3 linked regions of the Nothobranchius furzeri genome follow. The main gene of each other region encodes a partner of the protein of the gene in region 2 in a complex. Links are inferred from orthologs where the notes say so. Each region holds a gene or a part of one and is shown on either strand. Other genes may lie near its edges.

Region 1 (5,906 bases), on a different chromosome or scaffold from region 2:
AACTGGAAAAGGAACAGTGATGCTGTTGTTAAAAAGGCCCAGTCCAGATTGTTTTTTCTTAGGAAGCTAAGATCCTTTGATATAAGTAGGAGGCTCTTGAATGTGTTTTATCAGGGGATTATGTCCAGTGTGTTGTTTTATGCTGTGTTGTGTTGGGGCAGGAGCCTCATTGCTGAGGACAAAAACAGGATCAACAAAATGATCAAGAAATCTGGCTCAGTGGTTGGGCAACGCTTGGACTCATTTGACATGATCATCGACAAAAGGATTAAGCGTAAACTTAAGACAGTTATGACTCTGGAGGATCACCCCCTTCACCACATTTTTAAGGATCTCGGGAGCTCTTTCAGTGGGCGAATGTTAACGCCCCGGTGCTCCACTGAACGTTTTAGGAACTCTTTTATTCCAGCTGCAGTGCGTTTTTACAATGACCATTTCGTATGATTGTATATTTGATATTTTCATATTTTATTAGGACCAGTGAATGTTTTATTGTGTGGATGTGCATGTTGTGTTTACTTGTCCAAGGCAATTCAATTTCCCCCTTGGGGATTAATAAAGACAACCTTGAACCTTGAACATCGGGGCTCTCCTGATAAATTCCTGCTTGACAAAGCGCTCCCCTCCTCTCCCGGCTCCACGAACGATTCTCAAGTGGATTCAATCGCCTCTAATCCAAGCGAGCATCGGCAGTCAATGCTAACGATTGTCCATAGGCAGCCCCGATTAATCGATGCTAGACAAATGAGAACAGGACAGATCCTCATTCTTCTTCCAGATGGAGAAATAATTACTCATTCATGACTAAAGATATCAGAACTAAAATAGAGACCATGAGCTGTTTGAACAAAGCCGTAGAGTTGGCGCTATTTAATGTTTCTTTGGCAACGATCTTGTTTTTCCACATATTTTATTAAAGTTTCATTGTTTATGTGTTGTTTTCTTGTTCTGCTCCAGAGTCTGGATGTTTAGAGACCGGAGGACTTCATTATAAACAGCTTAACAAATCAGACTTTATTAAAATGATCTCAGACTGACAAAAACATGAAGTAGAAAACAAATCCAACATGTTATTTATAAAAAATACAAACAGAAACAGAACAATCGAGGTTCTGCAGCTTCACCACTCATCACGCCTCCCAGAACACGACAGCAACAGAACTGAGCTGTACTGTGATGGGTTGCCATGGAGACAGCAGGGTTCAAAGGTCAGTGTACAACAGAGTTGAGCGGCTCAGCTCTGATGTTCCCTAAATCCAGCGTGGAGTCGGTCTCCTCATCAATCTCCCCGATCACGGCGCTGGAGCAGAAACACGAGAAACGGTTAGAAGCTGTCCGAGGAGCAGCCGAGCTCCCCGTGCACCGGGACGTCCTTAGGGGTCATCATTTCTCATTTAGTTTTAGTTTGACCGAGGTGACTCACACGTTGTCTCCTCTAACGATGTAGAGGCCCAGCACCACCTGCTCCACCCCCTGGTTGGAGCTGAACACGCGCTCGTGGCTCTCATCCAGGATCAGGTTGATGGTCTGATCAAAGCCCTTCAAAGTGCCCTGAACACCCAAATGATAAATAAATAAATATAAATAAATAAGTACAGCACCTTTCAGTCAGAGGATTCCAAAGCAACTTAATATTATTATTCATCAACACGCTGGTGGTGTTGAGCTACAATGAATCATACTTAAAACAACCAGGCTAATAAAATACTAATAGTTCAGATTACACTTGAACTTTTATTTCAAAATGATTTTCAGTTATCTGCAGTTTTATGCCCCAAAACAGTAAAAATCTGACCATAAAAGTAAAAACGTGTCTGTCAGCATCTGTAGTGATGGGAACAGGACTAGATTTCTGGATTTACAGTCGAGGGAAAAACTAAATCCCCTGTGACCGACACCGGTTTAAATGAGGCTTCGGTTCAGGTGGAGGGGAAATCCTTGTGCTGGAGCCTCAAACATCTAAACACCAGAACCGTATCATCTTCTCTGCTGTCCAGCTGAGCTGAAAACGTGAACTCACCACGATCATCCTCCCGTCTGAGGTGACGATGGCAACAGTTCCTGGATCAGCTGGAGTCAAGGAAACATCATCTGTGCACAACTCATCAGTAAATTACGTCTAGCTTCTCCGTTTTCACCCGAACAACAACGATGGGTGTGCTTCAGTTAAATAACCCGACATCTTAAATCAGAAACAAACTAAATATATTTTATTCACAACCCGTGAAACCGAACTAACGCAGATCAGAACCGTTAATATCTACGTTTTGACGCCATCTGATCATATAAAATTCTATCAGTGATTTTTTTTTATGCAAACACTGATTTGAAATTGAACTGCTACGTAAAAGTTATTCCAGGTATGTTCATTCAGTTCTAAATAAAAATGAGTAGTTTTTTTGTCGCTTTAGCTTTTACCGTCTCTAAACTCCACCTAAACAACAACAAATTACATAAACATCGAAGCTAGCGCGCTAAGCTAACTAGCACTTCTTAAGCATGCAGTTAGCATGCTAGCAGCAAGATACGGTTGATGTAGCTCTCCAGCGCGGTGGACATGCTTCGTCCCGGACTCGGTCTCTATCTGTCCAGCAGAAAAATCGGTAAATCCCTCCAACGGTTGTCTATTTGCGCCGCTGTGTAAAAAAATAAAACGGAAAGAGCATCAAACCGCACCGCACCAAAACACCGGAGACAAGTCAAGACTAATCATACGCCGAATCATCGCGCAGGAAGGGGCGCGGAGGGTCGAGCGGTGACGTTTTTTTTATTCAAATTCCTCCAAATGTTATCATCAAACATTGATCTGGAAAGTTGTTTAAACGTGTGAGTAGGTGATGTCAGAGCTACAACCCTAAAGACAAAATATTGGGTACAGAAATGAAACACACTATAGCCCTATCAGTGGCGCATTTAGCAATTTGGGGCCCAAGGCGAGCACAGACATGGGGCCCCCTTAAAATAAATTTCGGCAATCTTACTTTTAATTGGATTTACAAAACTCTCCCCTCTTCTGCCATGAGTTATTTTCCCTTTTTATTAGTCCTCCTCTTTATTCATGTCTTTCTCTCCCTTTGAGTGCCTCCAATATTTGCTCTGCTTTCTTCTTCCTGTCAGTGCTCCTGAGCTTTTGCCTTTTTTAAATTTATTTTTCATTTTGGTCTACGTTTTCCTCCCTTTAAACATTTTCTATTGTCTTTCCTTTTCTGCTTCCTGATGCTCGAGCATCCGACAGAGGTGGAAAGTAATGAATTACATTTACTCACGTTACTGTAATTGAGTAGCTTTTTTGTATATTTATACTTTTTAAGTCATTTTTAAAATCTGTACTTTTACTTGAGTAAGTTTTTTAAAAAGAATTGTAATTCGCTACATTTTAAATCATATCCGTTACTGAGTAAAAATAAATTATAGGCTTAATAAATTAAAAATATTACGTGAAGCAGCGTCAGAACGGAAAGAGACACCTGCATGAGGACCGCATCTAAACCGGGGGTGTGTGGGGGTGTACACTTTTGCTCAAAGACATCATCAGTTCAGTCGATCAACTCGCTGTTTATCACCTCTCTCCCTCCTCTCCTGTGGTTGGAACCTGCACCTTCGCGCACCAGTGTGACATCATCAGAATTCTGCTCGGTTCGGTAGCGAGACTCGGTTCCGTGTTTGAAATGTGTTTCCCTACCGCTCCGCACGGCAGCGGCAAAATACTGTTTAGTGCTCATAACAAGCGGATTATCAGCGCTTTGCTCATAAACAGAAGAGCTGCAGGCCTCTGTGAGTTAAAACATCATGATACTGTTCAGGTGTAAACATTGTGCTCCATCCCTGTGTTTGAACTCAGAAGTTGCTCCTTGATGCCACAGATATGTGATGATTTAGCTTGTTTCTTTATTTTACTCCAGAATTAGAGATTAAATTATTACTAAAGCAATTCAATGTAGTTAAATTAGTCATGGCGTGCGTGTGTGTGTGTGTGTGTGTGTGTTACACATATAGGACTGCATGAGACAGCGTGGTTTCATCAAATCCATGCATCTCATATCTTGGGTGAAGTAACGGCTCAGGAAAATAACATATATTTCATAAATAATGACGTCTCTGCAGTGTTTATGATAATGTTTTATCTTATCTTTGGTCTGGGAGGTGTAACTTATCATGATACAAGCCTTTTAAAACATGTTAAAGTGTTACAAGAGGAGATAAATGCATGAATTTAAAGTTCATGTTTGGAGGCTCACGCTGGTGAGGAGACACCGTTAGTTCTAGTAACACCTGGGCTCCCAAGGCCTGTTCTGACAGGATGGATGTTACGGGACCCTTAAGGATTCCAGTTGGATGATTGGAGGATTATTTAGGAGGATTGAAATGAACAAACTGATTTCAGTGGTGAAGGGTTAAATGAGTGAGTGAACCCACTGCCAAGGATGAACTCTGCTAGCTTTAAAAATCAGCTGCTCTAAATAAGCATGAAGGTCAGAGAGGATCTCTAGGATGGACATGGATAAAGGAACTGTAATGTAGAGGTAAAGTAGGGCAGGGCCAACGTTAGCAGCTGTCATACGGTCCATCTGACATGTTTGACTGCATTAGGCTTGCTATGTGACAGGTTAGAGCACAGTCTCATGTTAGAGTTTTGTCATGAGGACATTGAGATACCTCACATGCTGATGGCATCTAAAAAAATTATTTTTTCTCAAAATAAAGAATAATTTGAATCACAATTGAAACTTACCATCCTAGAAAAACCTCGTCCAATCAATGTGCACGTCCTGTTCTCACTGATTGGATAGAAATCCTTCCTTCAAGCCGTGCGTGTTTGAGTGTGTGTGTGCGCACACACAAGCGAATTGTGAACTGCCGTTGCGATTTAGCACTACTTAGATGTAGCCATCCTTACGCTGACAAAAATGTAACTAAGTAACTTTTACTTTGAGTACATTTTGTTTACGATACCTTTTACTTTTACTTGAGTAAAAATTTAGGCAAGTACTTTTACTTGTAATTGAGTAAAAAATTATCAAAGTATTGGTACTCGTAATTAAGTAGGAAATTTTAGTACTCTTTCCACCTCTGGCATCTGACCCACGTGACCACAGAGCTAGCTCCGTGGAAAGGCCTCAGTAGAGCCTCGGTCTGGCCTGGAAACTGCTCCGGGATTTTGAGTCTCTGTGTGTGTGTATTCTTTTTGGATATTTTTTGTGTAATTGTTGGACAAAATGACTTGCTGTGGCATTAATTGCACTAATAGAGCGTCCAAGGAGTCTCCACTTCATTATTTTCGGTAAGTAAAATTATATTTATGTATTTTAGGTCACTGCTGAGCTGAGCTTAGATTTTAACATGTACTGTTTAACCATGAAATGTAAATGTAATAGGGTAAAACCCAGTGCATTTAACATAATGCTGCACTTTAGAAAATGGGTTGAAATATAACATGTTGGTGGAGCTGGGTTCCCACTATCGGCTTGTGGAGCTCTCGGGAGACCGATGTTTTCCACCCGGTTCTTCCCTCCCCGCAGCCCAGCACATCTCTGTCTGATCGCGTTTTCTGTCTGCTGTGCAGCTGCCGGCTTGGGGAGCTCTCGGAGACCTCTGTGTTCCACCCGGTTTTACCCAGCGGTCAGCCCGGCGTATCTCTGACTCAGAAGCTCTGATGTTGTGCACAGTTAACTCCGGTTGTAGCTAGGTTGCTACCTCCGTTAGCTTAGCTCCCACCTCCGCATTAGCTTCAGGTTAGCTTGTAGCTAGTTCGACCAGGTGTTGTCAGCTGATCCCAGCCTTACAGCCCCACCCTCAGCTCCACCTCTCTTCCCTTTTATGGAATTGTCTGGGCTTGACGGAACCTGTGACACGGTCAAAACGGCGGTGGTGGCCACCTCCCATTTTAGTACAAAAACTTATTATTG
Region 2 (6,079 bases):
CGTTTCTAATTATTTAAATATTCCGTTAGCCTTTCACGTTGATCAAAATCAATGGTTGTTTTGCTAAAACGAGACAAAAGTATCAAATGATCACCGCAGATGTAGGTTACACCGAGAAAACCGAGGCCGGTGTTGTGCCATAAATCGACTCGCTGCCAGAAAATGATTAGCCACTAAAGAAAGGAAGGGGAAAAAATCAAATCGCTGGAGAATTGTTCATTTACATTTATACAACGTTTACATTCAATACAGGGCGCCATTTTACATTGTTTATTTATTTTTTTAGCATCAAGGCTGTAACATAAAGAAAGCCAGTTCTTACCACAAACCATCTTTCAATCGCAAATATTGCAAAAAGGATTAATATATCCTCATTGTGAACGTTTAAGACAAATAGCAACACTTAAAACAACTTCCGAACTGGACAAAACTAAGCTAATCATTTTTTGGCAGTGATCGATTTATGGCACAACACCGGCTCCCAAAATTAAAGCTACTTAAACTCTCCGTACCCGCCACTAAGCTGCCTGTGAGCTACACGGTGTCAGAAAGCTGGAAAACGAGCTTACACATCGCCTCTAAAGATTTCAGCTGTGCGGTCTCGTGTCGTTTAATTTCTTCGTGGAATAACTGTGGCAACAAACCGGCTGCGTAGCTCTACATAACATCACTTACCTCTCAGCGATCATGACGTGACGTTAGATTACGTTAGCGGTTAGCTTTGAGCGAATTGCTACAGGTTGTGTATCGGAATTGGGCTCGGCCGCAACTCCCAATTGCTGAACAGGGTTCCGCTCACGGTCGCCGTCAAAAACTAATTGCAGTCGCTAAGTAGGGAGGTTAGGCTGGTTAAACAGCGATTAAATGTTTAAGAAATACTAGTTTATGAACGGAAAAAGAAACTAGTTCATTTAAAAGATTTCTGAGCTGTAGCCACGTGGTATGCTGCAAAAGCCTTCTGCGCACACACAACCGGAACTTGAACAGGCCTAAATATTTACTGAACTACAACTACTGCTATTTCAATAATTATCAAATAACAAAAAATATACTATATATGATTTTCAATACTGTTATTAGCCACAGCTATTGACAAACTACAAAAAGTGAAATGTCTTGAACTCCCTAAATTTTGAGCTTTGTTATTTTAAGTGTTTTATGACATGTTGTGCAATAGAATTTGCAATTCATATATATATATATATATATATTTGAATTGCAAATTTTATGTACAATATAAGTGTATAACTTTTAAAAATTATGTTTAGACATTAAATCATCAACAGATGCACTTTATTTATTCAGAATTTAAAGACAGATCAAACGATATTATCCTAACAGCTGTTTCAGTGAATGATCCAGGCTCTCCAGTTTTACCTAGGGTGGTTTTACAAAGATTTCAGTTCCCAGTTTAAGGTCAAATATGAAACAACTCTCACTCGTATATTATCTGAGGCAGAAAATTAATCACAAAGAGCAGGTGACATAAAACAGAAACTGATCAGCATTTAAAATTTCTAATGACCTTTTGAAAAACATGCTTGCATCCCATTTTTTAACGTTGTTCTTGTTTGAGCTTAAAGGTGCAATGATGCAAGTTATCCTGTTTTAGTTTTGTGACCAGAAATTTTTTTCCTTTATCTGATTTGTAAAAATTGCCCATATATTGTTCAAAAATTCACCTCCAATAATAACTGAATCCATTAATCATATTTTAGCAGAAAAAAAAAGTTTCAAAAACAATTTGTGGTTTAAATTATTGTTCTTTTAGGAAATTCACAAGACAAATGAAATAGTTTACACCTGTACTGATTTTCTTATACTATTGTTATATCAACACTGAAGCAAGACCATAAACTAGCAATAATCTCAAAAGAGCTACAACAATAATCATTTTCCCCTACATATTTATTTAGTGATGGTGTTTGCATTCATGCTCTTCCCACTGCCACTGAGGACGATGTACGGCGTTTTCTGAGATTTCTGTTTCTCTTGAAGCAAAGCCACCGTCCCCAGAGGTGTATCGCTGCTGCTCATCTTCTTCAGCAGCGCTTCCTCCTCCAGCTTTTTCATCCTCCTTTCAGTTTTCATCTTTCCAGAACCTTTGCCGTGGAAACGATGCGAAAGCTGCCTGAATGCCTCTTTTGGGGTGAGTCTGCGCCCAGACTCATCCACATACTCAATTTTGACGTCGGGTTTATATCCATCCTTTTCCTTGAAATCCTGCGTGAAGCCTCTGTATTCTTCCCGGCGACTGTACTTATCATCAAAGCCCATCTTGTCCTCGATGCAGTAGTTGTCATTAGGCAGGGACCCCTTTGTTGCTTTGACACGAGCCACCTTTTGCATTTGCGTGTCCAGCAGCCCTTTATTTTTGCACAGCAGTAAAGCAGCAGCAAGGCCAGAGTTCACGATGGGTTCCTCATCCAGGATAGTGGCAGAGGCTGTGGAAAATTCAGCATGATTTTGCTCCTCATCCAGGTTAACTGTGCTCCACCCAATATTTTCATCCATTTCGGAGTCTGAATCTCCAGCATCATCTTTCTCTTCTTCCTGTTCAAAGTCCATGATATCCTCCTGGTCTTCCCTGTTTCCAGACAGTCCATACGTTGGAATATCACCCAGAGTTCTGCAGAACTCAGAGGTGGCATTGAAGACAATGTTATTCCTCTTGTCAGGATCATTTTCGTCACCGCCTTTAACAAACCGTCTGATCTGCTCTGCCACCTTCTCCCCGGAGTCTTTGAGAAGCTGCTTCTGCCTCAGCTTCCTCTGTTTCTCCAGTTGTTTCTGCAGCTCCTGCTCTGCCTCATCCTCCTCAATTACAGCTGGCTCAGGAGGCGTGAAGTTTTCTTCATCACTCATTTCCATTTCTGCCGTCCTGATGTCATCAGACATTTGGGGGATTTCATGTGGCCAACGCTCGCCCTTGCCTGTATTCTCCTCTTCGTTGTCCTGTTTGCGGCCCCGACCTCGTGCTCGGGAGCCAAAGTCAGAGCTGCGAGTGTCATCAAGGAGCTCATCTGCAATTGTCTGCTTCTCCTTCTTCCTGATTTTCTTCACACGGCGTTTTGTCTTTTTAAAGCCAACCATTTCCTGAGGCGTGTAATACTCCGAAGCGATAGCAAGAGCAGGCATTTCCAAAGACTGGGCCTGGTTTTGCAGCGTTTCTTTCATAGCCTGCAGCTCCCGTTCTCGCTCCCCATCAGCAAATCCCCATGTGCTCAAACGAAAGCTCTTTTTCTTTTCACCTTCAATTTCTTCATCGTATTTTGAAAGTACAGTGCGGGGCTTAAAGGTGACCATGTCATCCACACTCTCCTCTTCTTCGTAGGGCTTGTAGTCAGGCTTTTTCTTTTTCAACTCCACATTCTTTTCTGCTTTTTCCTTGTCCACCAGTCCCACGTTCACAAGCACATCCTCCTCTTCTTCCAGGACACCTTTGTCTTGCAGGGTCAGAATGACAGTGTGGCCCTCCTTGAAGGAATCAACCTTGTGCTGCACTTTGAGGCCTTTGAGATCCCGTGAAGAATAAGAATCCAATTTACTTTGAGCAAACTCCTCTTCAACCAGATTGCTGACACCAAACTCCTCATCCATCTCTTCCAGAAGTTTGGCTCTTTTCTCTGCCATTTCTTTCTCTTGTGCCAGCTTTCTGCTTCTTTCAATCCAAGCGGCTGTGTCATCGAGCCAATCATCATCTGCAAGGTTTTTGACTTTGCCCAGTTTCTGATTGAGGAGACGTTTTTCTTTCATAGCTGCAAGCTTCTCCCTCATCTCTTTCTGCTGCTGGATGAGAACAGGGTTGATGGTCTCAGCCACCAGTGGCTCCTCTTTGGTTCCAAGTTCTTTCTTGTTCTCATTGAGTTCCAGAGGCTTTAAACCCAGCTTGGCTCGGAGTTTGTTCGTTTCCTCGACGCTGAGGGAAGCATCTCCACTTGCACTCTGAGGCTGTATTTCTGCACTGCCTTCCTCATAGCCAGGATCCAATTTCTCCCTCTTTATACGAGTCTCGCCACTGCTTTTTTCCCCTTTGCTGCGACTATCCCGTCTGCTCCTTTCCCTGGACCTGGAGCGTTTTCGTTTTTCTCGAGTTCCATCCCGATCTGAGGCATCTCTGTCTCTCTCTCGTTCTTTGTGCCGATGCTTCTTATGTTCACGACGGCGCTCTTCTGCGTCCTTATCGCGACTCTTTTCCTTGTGTTTCTTTGAAGAACCCATGATTTCGTCCGCTGTTTACAACTCCAGAGTCGTAGTTCCGTCACAGTCAAGCTGCGTACGCAGTCTCTTCAGCTGTATTGATGTGGTAAATGTCGCGAACTTTTCTCCCAACTAGGTCGAGTTAGCTTCAAAAGCTAAAGGGTTAGCCACGTCAAAACTCACTCATTTCGGGGAAAACTGCATCATATTTTCGATATCCAGCATCGGTGGAAAATACGTGGAGTTTCGTTGGTTTGTTTATTTGTAGCACCTCGCACCAGCATAAATACTAACAACCACGTTTTAAGTTTGCTACTTCGACGAAACGAACATACAACGACAACGAATTCGTTTCCGGAAGTCAAGTGGTAGAAAAAACTTTGCTCGCCCTGGTTGTATATCGCCCCCTGCTGGCTGGGGCTTTAACAACCGGACATTAACTGACAAACAAACGCTTTTAAATGTTTTAGGAAAATTGTTTGATACTTTACAAAAAGTACACGAAGTGCAACACAGCGATTTACTATCTCCTCTATTTTGGCGCAGTTCCTTTACTTTAGCTTGTTAGCTTAGCAAAGGTTGCAGCCTGCAACCTGCTGTATTTAGCAAGCCGTGATAGCATTTAATGAAGCAAAACATTTCCATTCACTTAAAATTTTAGATAAAGTTATAATAATTCCCATTATCAAAATGTATTTCTTACTTATCGTAACTGAAATAATATCTAGAAGTGCATTCTGATCAGTAAAAACACATTTTAATACTGTAATTGATATTTCAATTGGAAACCCCCAGGTTTAGAGTATTTAAAAATGCTTTTGATTCCAAACGGTCATTTGAACATTTAATGGCTGGGATGTTTATCACTTTCAGATATACATCAAAATTAATTCTTCTCAGACAAAGAGAAAAAGTCAGATGTCTAGCAATGGTTTCTGTCTACCAACAACAGCATTAAGGATTTTTTCAAATTACATTTTTCTACTTCAGCTTTTGCATTTATCTGTATTGAGCTCCAGATATCAAAAAGGGCATTGTGCTAATGTATTTGGCAGATGCTTTTGTCCAAAACGATCTATAAACAAGGATGTAACAGTACTTGCATCTGATTCTAACGATAAACTGATTAGAGGAAAGAACACTAGGCTCCGACAGAGGAGTATGCGAAAATAGTGTAGAAATGAATCAGAGTGCAACATAGATGGAAGTGCACAAAGAGATGCAGTGGAATAGAGGAAGGGATGGGTGGATCCTAGGGTAGGAGTAGGTGTAACATTATGGATATCATATCAGTTCACATGTTAATTTCACTCATTTTTATACATACTACATTTTAAATTTTACTTGAATCTGTTATGCTTTGGCTGCATGTTGGCACAGTGGTAGTGCTGTTGCCTTGCTGTATTTCAATAAATAAAGTTTGAATCAAATGCTATTTCATCAAGTTCTTAATAGATATTTTAATTATCTTTCAAAATATTTGTAATTGCATTTGTTGCGAGTTTCTCAATAGATCTATACACGAGTTTACCACTATTCTTTATTTTGTGTATTAAAAAAACCTTTGAATATGTCACCTAGGATAATAGATACGTGAATTGCGTGTTTCCCTCAGTAAGAATCGTCAGATCATGCCAGGATAAGAAAGAATAGAAGAAATTGTTACCTGGATGGCTGAAATGTCTTTTAGCACGAAACCCCCCACGATGGATTGAGCCCAAGTAATAAATGACAAATCGGCTTGCTTGTAACAGCATCGTGCTGCTTCTGTTAGCCATTTGGGTCCAGGCAGTTAGCAAAGGTAAATGGCTAATGTCACTTTGAAGTTGGGCATGGCTAATGTGCATAGAATTTTAACAAAACACTTTAGGTTAGCTTT
Region 3 (5,859 bases), on a different chromosome or scaffold from region 2:
CGCACATAGGAGCAGAAAGTCAGATGGAGGATGAGGCAACGGGGCCAAAGGATCCACTATTTGTTGCACCTGAGGCAGGGGCGTGCCGTGTGTGTCCAGCAGGTAAATTACTCCTGTTTACCCAAAGAGGTCCTGTTTAGCCTCAGAAATCCCAGTCCTGAGTTCCTTCCATCCGTCTTGATCCCTTCCGTCACACCCAGGTGTACACAGGCATCTCTCCTGTCACCTTAAAATCTCCATAGTTTCCAGGAAAGTGTAGAATCCCCTCAAATCCACCATTATCAAGTTGAGTAAGAGGTGCGATAAGACTGCAGCATGCTCCTTAGTGGAGCGCCCTGCTCCGTCTAAAAGCCTGCTTGTACGTGCTCCATTGACACAGTGACTGAGCAGCAGGGGAGGGGCGAAGCTTCCTGGAATTTGGCCTTTTTACTCCTCTCCAAGCTCAAACACCTGACAAACCATCAATTCTCTCTCAGACTTCCATAAGTCACTATTCTAACCTACTTTTAGGAGGTTTCACATCCAGTTAAGTAAAAATTTTGCCATTTTAAAAAACAGCTTCAGTTATCTCACTTAAAACTCATCAGCATTTTGTTTCTGCGTTTCTCCAACGCCAAAATCTACTGAAGATCCTTTCTTTCAAAAGGAACAATCCATAGATATCATTACTTTACACCCCCACCCCAGCTTAATGCATTACTGACTTAAAAGCTGTTAATGCCACATATGTGTCTTTGTGAGTGTGCAGACAAGCTTGAACGGTTTATCTTCAAACACAGAAACTCCCTTTAAACCTAAACACACTCATCTTTTTTTTTACTGCAGAGTTCAGTAGTCTGTAGACCCATCGAGTCAGTCACAACCAGCAGGTAGGGGACGTCTGTCGGGTCAACAAAACCACTCAGATCCTTGTCACCCTTTCGAATAGACCATATCTGGTGTAACTTTCCAACACGTCCTCTGTGTTCAAAGGAGAAAAACATTCAGATTCAGCTTTTTTTCCACTTTATTTTCTTATCAAAAACAAAGAATAGTAAAAAGTTCACTCAGATAACAAGAAATTTGTTTTAACACTTTCAGAACTGGGAGCTCCTCACAACACAAAAATGAGCAAAATTAGCAGGGAAATAAAACTGAAGTGCAACGGAGCCTTATTTTACCAGTGATGAACTTAAAACATGTTTGTCGTCTGAATGACAAGTGTCCTGTAATGTTAAAAAAGAAAAGTCTAATCAAAAGTGTGCCACGCAGCAGCATGGGGGTTATCCATCTTGCTGCTGGATGAATGGGTTAGGAATGGCCTCCATGCCATCCTGAGGACAGATCAGCACCACAGAGGTTCCTCTGCAGACCACCAGCCCCAGCTGTCGGGTGTCTTCTGTCAGCTTCAGCTGGTCGTCTGGATCTGCACACAAAGCCACAGAACGTTCACACTGGAAATGTCAAGCAGCTGGGTGTCCACCAAGCATTTTACCGGAATGCACTCAAAACTAAAACATGAATGGTGAGACCTTTGATTTTTTTGTTTTGACCATCTTCAGTTCAGATGTATTTTTCAAAGATGTTAAGTCCACACAAGACGACCACTTGTAACAGCGATAAAAAACCAACAACATTTGATTTGTTATCACTGTTAAAAATCTGCTTCGACCACTAAAGAACAAACCTCAAACTGAAAAAAGCCACTCATCTTTTGTTTGGGGATTTTTAAATCAATTTAATTTCCCCCCACATGTTTCTGGTTTTTGTTCCACCCGAGTGGCCTCCATGACTCCTCTGAATATTAGCTCAACCCTCCCCTCCAAACACTAAACTGAGAATTAGAAACTTGAGCATTTTTCCAGTGTTTGTTCAAACTAGCATCACATTTTCAACAAATCCACAGTGATGGTAGAGGAGATAGGTGGAGTAACCTTACAGGGTAAGAGCACAAAAAACACAACCAGCTACTTACCTTTACCTGGAAACAACACACTGTTCCAGTAGAGAGGTGTCTACACAATGTTTTCTGTTTGTTTGTACAAAAAGAAAACAATTCCACAGATGCTTTTACACACAGACTTTCTTAATTTTATGAAACTGAAAAATTAATCTTACATACAAGGGCGTGATTTGAAAATTTGGAAACCTTTTTTCAATTTGAAGCCCAGAAAATCTCTCGGATTATTTGATGTTTTAGAATGAATTATTTAGAGCCTGTGAATTTTCTTCTTTTAAACATAGCAGCAACATGTTTTTGTCTACATGTAATTATATGTAATGTTCGTCCACTGAAGATAATCTAAAATTATGTTGCTTTTATTGTCAAACAAGATTAGCACGCACGCACGCACACACACACGTATTCCTGATAATTTACTGAAAAACAAATTAACTCAAAAAAGTGAAGTAGAAAAATGTCTCTTAAACATGCTCTGAACATGAACATAATGTTTTGATCAACATGCTTATTTTCACTAACTGTAGATCGTTTTAAAGATGACGGTAGGGGCGAAATTAATGCGAATTATTACTTTATAGTTATGTGTGTTGGGGAACTTCGGAATGTGTTCAGGAAAAGTCCTTCATCGATATAAACATGGACTCAGACTGAGGAGCAGTTTTCTGGCTGGATTTGAGTTTTGGTTTTCTTACCACGCATGTATTCGATCGTGCCGTCCAGCACCAGGTTCAACAGAGGATCAAATCCTTTCAAAACGCCGCTTGCTGAGAAGAAAACACAAATTTTAGGCTTCCACATAAGGAAATCTAGACATTTACTGCTTGCACGAAATGAAAGGGTTAGCAACAGCTTGGTCCACCCACCCTCTCGTCCACCTTGAAACTTCACCCGAATCGTCTTGTCGATATACTTGGACAAGTCGAAGATGCTCTCCTTCTTTTTCTTTTCTTTATCCTGCAGAAAGGCCAGGTTACATTGTCTTAAGTCACTAATTAATCACAAACAAAACGTAGCCTTAGCTTAGCTCACTACTAGCCACGTTATTTAAGTAAAACGTCTACCGTCACAGCAAAATAAAAGTTGTTCAAGTCGACTTTTGTTCAGAAAACAAAGCTAAATCTTAACAATACAAATGTGGATGTGAAAAGATAAAAAGTAACACAATATAATGAAAGCCATGGATTACGAACTCACCGCCATATTTACTGTCTGACCCGGAAGTAAATCTTAGACCCTAGGAAATGATAGTGATCCAATGAGATAACGCGTTCAGAGGGTTCAGAGAGGTCCAGCTGTAGACCATAAAAAGTAAAATGAAACAATATTGATTTTTGTAAAAGTCTCGGGACTACCATCTCTACTAAAACGTAATGAGTTAAATACACACTCATGTGATTGTCTTAATACGCTGTCAGGCTGGGAAAAACGTTCATCTTTCTCAGCTGCATTGTGCGTTAGCTAATAGCTACAGGCTACAATCTCAGAAGAAATCTACGCCCTCCAGTGGGGATAAACTGCAACTACAATCAGGTTCTAAGAAGCTAGAAGGGAACGTTCTAGTCTCATGGCAATGAAACTGGGGGGGGGGGGGGGGGGGGATCATAATCTGTATTTTTGTTTCTTTTGGTTGATGGAGATGGAGAAGAGAAAACTGCCTGTAAATTCTTTCTAAATAAAACGCTATAACACTTTTGTTATCAGCGAGTGGGAAACTCGCTCTAACAGCCTTTTTCGTTTATTATTTAGCTAAATTCACAATCAAAACAGTATGTAACAGTGTTAAAAACTATGCTAATACTGAGTTCACAACTAAAGACAGTTGGGGTTGCCGATCAGCTTGTATGTTTTTGGTCTGCTGGAGGAGCATGTACCCAGAGCAAACCCACACATGCATGGAGAGAATGAAAGGCCGTAGCCAAGGTTTAAACCTATGACATTGTTCCTGTGAGTCACCAGTGCTTCCAACTGCCCCACAATGAAACCCTTTTTAAAATAAAATGTATACAGATGAAACTCAAAAAATTTGAACATGGTTCAAAAGTTTATTGATTTCAGTATAAAAACCTAAAAGGTGAAACAAATTCATGAGATAAACTCATTCTATGCAAAACCAGATATTTCCATCATTTATTTGTTATAAGTGTGATGATTATGGCTTACAGCTTACGAAAACATCTAAAACTAAATATCTCAGACAAACAGAACGTGCGAGAAGGTTCAATACTCTAGACTCAAAGTGTCGCACTCTAACCAGCTAATTAATCAAAAACATCTGCAAAGGGTTCCCGAGCCTTTAGATGGTCTCTCAGTCTAAGATGGATTATTGAAATAAGTGAACTTTTGCACCATATTCTAATTTTTTGAGTTTCAGTATTGTTATTGGGAAAAAAATCAATAACCAATAAAGGCTCTCAGCATGGAGCTTGCTCCAGTCATTGACATGAACAAGCCAGCACACTGAATTAGCTTGGTCATGACCCACACATGACTACTATTAATAAACCCTGACTGTGTACCAGTTGGTGGGTTGCAAACCACAAGTAGGTCAAGATATTTTGGTGAGGCTGTTTGCAATGACACCGCCTGCAGAGGGGACTTCTACGTGAGCTACAACAAAACAGACATGGATGAATCTGTTTTACATGTGAAGGACTCGGAGACCGATTTAATCCCAGATACCACCCTACGGGTAGGAGGAGAGAGCTTTTATGTCAACCGTCAACGTCTGGCCTTCCAGAGTCCTTATTTCAGGGCTCTGTTCTTTGGCTGTGGTGTGGAGCGAAACAAGACGCAGGTAGAGATCAAAGGTGTTGCTCTCCAATATTTTAAAGTGTTAATGGCCTACAGTGTGACCCAAAGCCTAGCACTGGACAGAGAAAACGTTCTGGGAATCCTAGAGACTGCAGACTTTTTACAACTGGAGAAACCCAGGCTACTGTGCTGCAAATTTCTGGAGCGGGAGCTGCACCTCAGCAACTGTTTGGGAATGATGGCCTACGCCTGGCATTTTGGTTTCTCCCAACTACATGCCGCAGCGCGGCAGGTGGCACTCACACACTTCTCAGCTCTCTCAACTCTAGATGATTTCTTATGCCTTTCCAAAGACTTTTTAGCAGATCTCCTTGCTAGTGATGACCTGGCCATCTTTAAAGATGATCTGGCTCTGGAGGCCACCCTGCGTTGGGTGTCTTTTGACCCTAAACGAGAGGAACATTTCCTGGAGCTCGTTGAGCTGGTGAGGCCTGAATCTCTCTCCTTACCATTTGTCTCTCAGCTCTTGACCACAATGAAAGGCTCTGATCCCAGAGCTAGGCTCATCAGGAACGTCAATGAGTATTTCCCACCATCCTGGTCAGTGGGAAGGTCAATGAGGAGGACCAGGGCCAGAGAGAGCCTCTACATCCTGGGTGGGCCTCATGATCAGGAGGAACAGGCGCTGTATCAGCTTCATCCTCACAGTGGCAGATGGGAGCGCTGTGCACCTCTGCAGAGGAAGAACCTAACTCAGTACTCTGTGGCTGCAGTGGGTAATGAGTGTGTGGTGAATATTATGATGTTATTGTGTTTAATTGCTGCACGACATCTCAGGACATTGTTCTAACAGCATACATGTACATGTTCTCACTCTTTAGGGGACAACGTGGTTGTGACTGGTGGCTACTTTCGGGACGTGCTGTGGTTCAGTGTGGATTGGGTCAGAATTTATGAATGTGGTAACCAGCGCTGGGTGGACGGACCAGCCCTGCAGAAATCTAGACACAGCCACTGCTCCATAGGGCTGGGCTCAGCCCTGTTTGTTCTGGGTGGGAGTATGGATGAAAGTCTTGTGGCTGATGTGGAGAAGCTGGTTCTTGGAGCAGGGGAGGGTTGGGAGGGAAAGAGCCCTATGGTCCGGGCGGTGGAGAGAGCAGCCGCCG

The links.
Region 1: sart1 (region 2) and lsm8 share a complex: the UniProt entries of both Homo sapiens proteins name them as parts of the U4/U6-U5 tri-snRNP complex. The link is inferred for Nothobranchius furzeri from reciprocal best matches to the Homo sapiens genes SART1 and LSM8.
Region 3: sart1 (region 2) and lsm7 share a complex: the UniProt entries of both Homo sapiens proteins name them as parts of the U4/U6-U5 tri-snRNP complex. The link is inferred for Nothobranchius furzeri from reciprocal best matches to the Homo sapiens genes SART1 and LSM7.

The regions. Positions count from the first base shown.
Region 1 is NC_091741.1:34,219,067-34,224,972, forward strand, and holds lsm8 (LSM8 homolog, U6 small nuclear RNA associated), read right to left. Parts: upstream 3,185-5,906; 5' UTR 2,560-3,184; coding exon 2,529-2,559; intron 2,062-2,528; coding exon 2,021-2,061; intron 1,552-2,020; coding exon 1,424-1,551; intron 1,301-1,423; coding exon 1,210-1,300; 3' UTR 989-1,209; downstream 1-988. UniProt on the Homo sapiens protein: Plays a role in pre-mRNA splicing as component of the U4/U6-U5 tri-snRNP complex that is involved in spliceosome assembly, and as component of the precatalytic spliceosome (spliceosome B complex).
Region 2 is NC_091744.1:19,554,374-19,560,452, reverse strand, and holds sart1 (U4/U6.U5 tri-snRNP-associated protein 1), read right to left. Parts: upstream 4,551-6,079; 5' UTR 4,222-4,550; coding exon 1,909-4,221; 3' UTR 1,277-1,908; downstream 1-1,276. UniProt on the Homo sapiens protein: Plays a role in mRNA splicing as a component of the U4/U6-U5 tri-snRNP, one of the building blocks of the spliceosome. May also bind to DNA.
Region 3 is NC_091748.1:58,319,923-58,325,781, forward strand, and holds lsm7 (U6 snRNA-associated Sm-like protein LSm7), read right to left. Parts: upstream 3,247-5,859; 5' UTR 3,143-3,246; coding exon 3,137-3,142; intron 2,897-3,136; coding exon 2,806-2,896; intron 2,707-2,805; coding exon 2,635-2,706; intron 1,406-2,634; coding exon 1,263-1,405; 3' UTR 989-1,262; downstream 1-988. Other genes in the region: kelch-like protein 23, read left to right, coding at 4,566-5,469, 5,575-5,859. UniProt on the Homo sapiens protein: Plays a role in pre-mRNA splicing as component of the U4/U6-U5 tri-snRNP complex that is involved in spliceosome assembly, and as component of the precatalytic spliceosome (spliceosome B complex).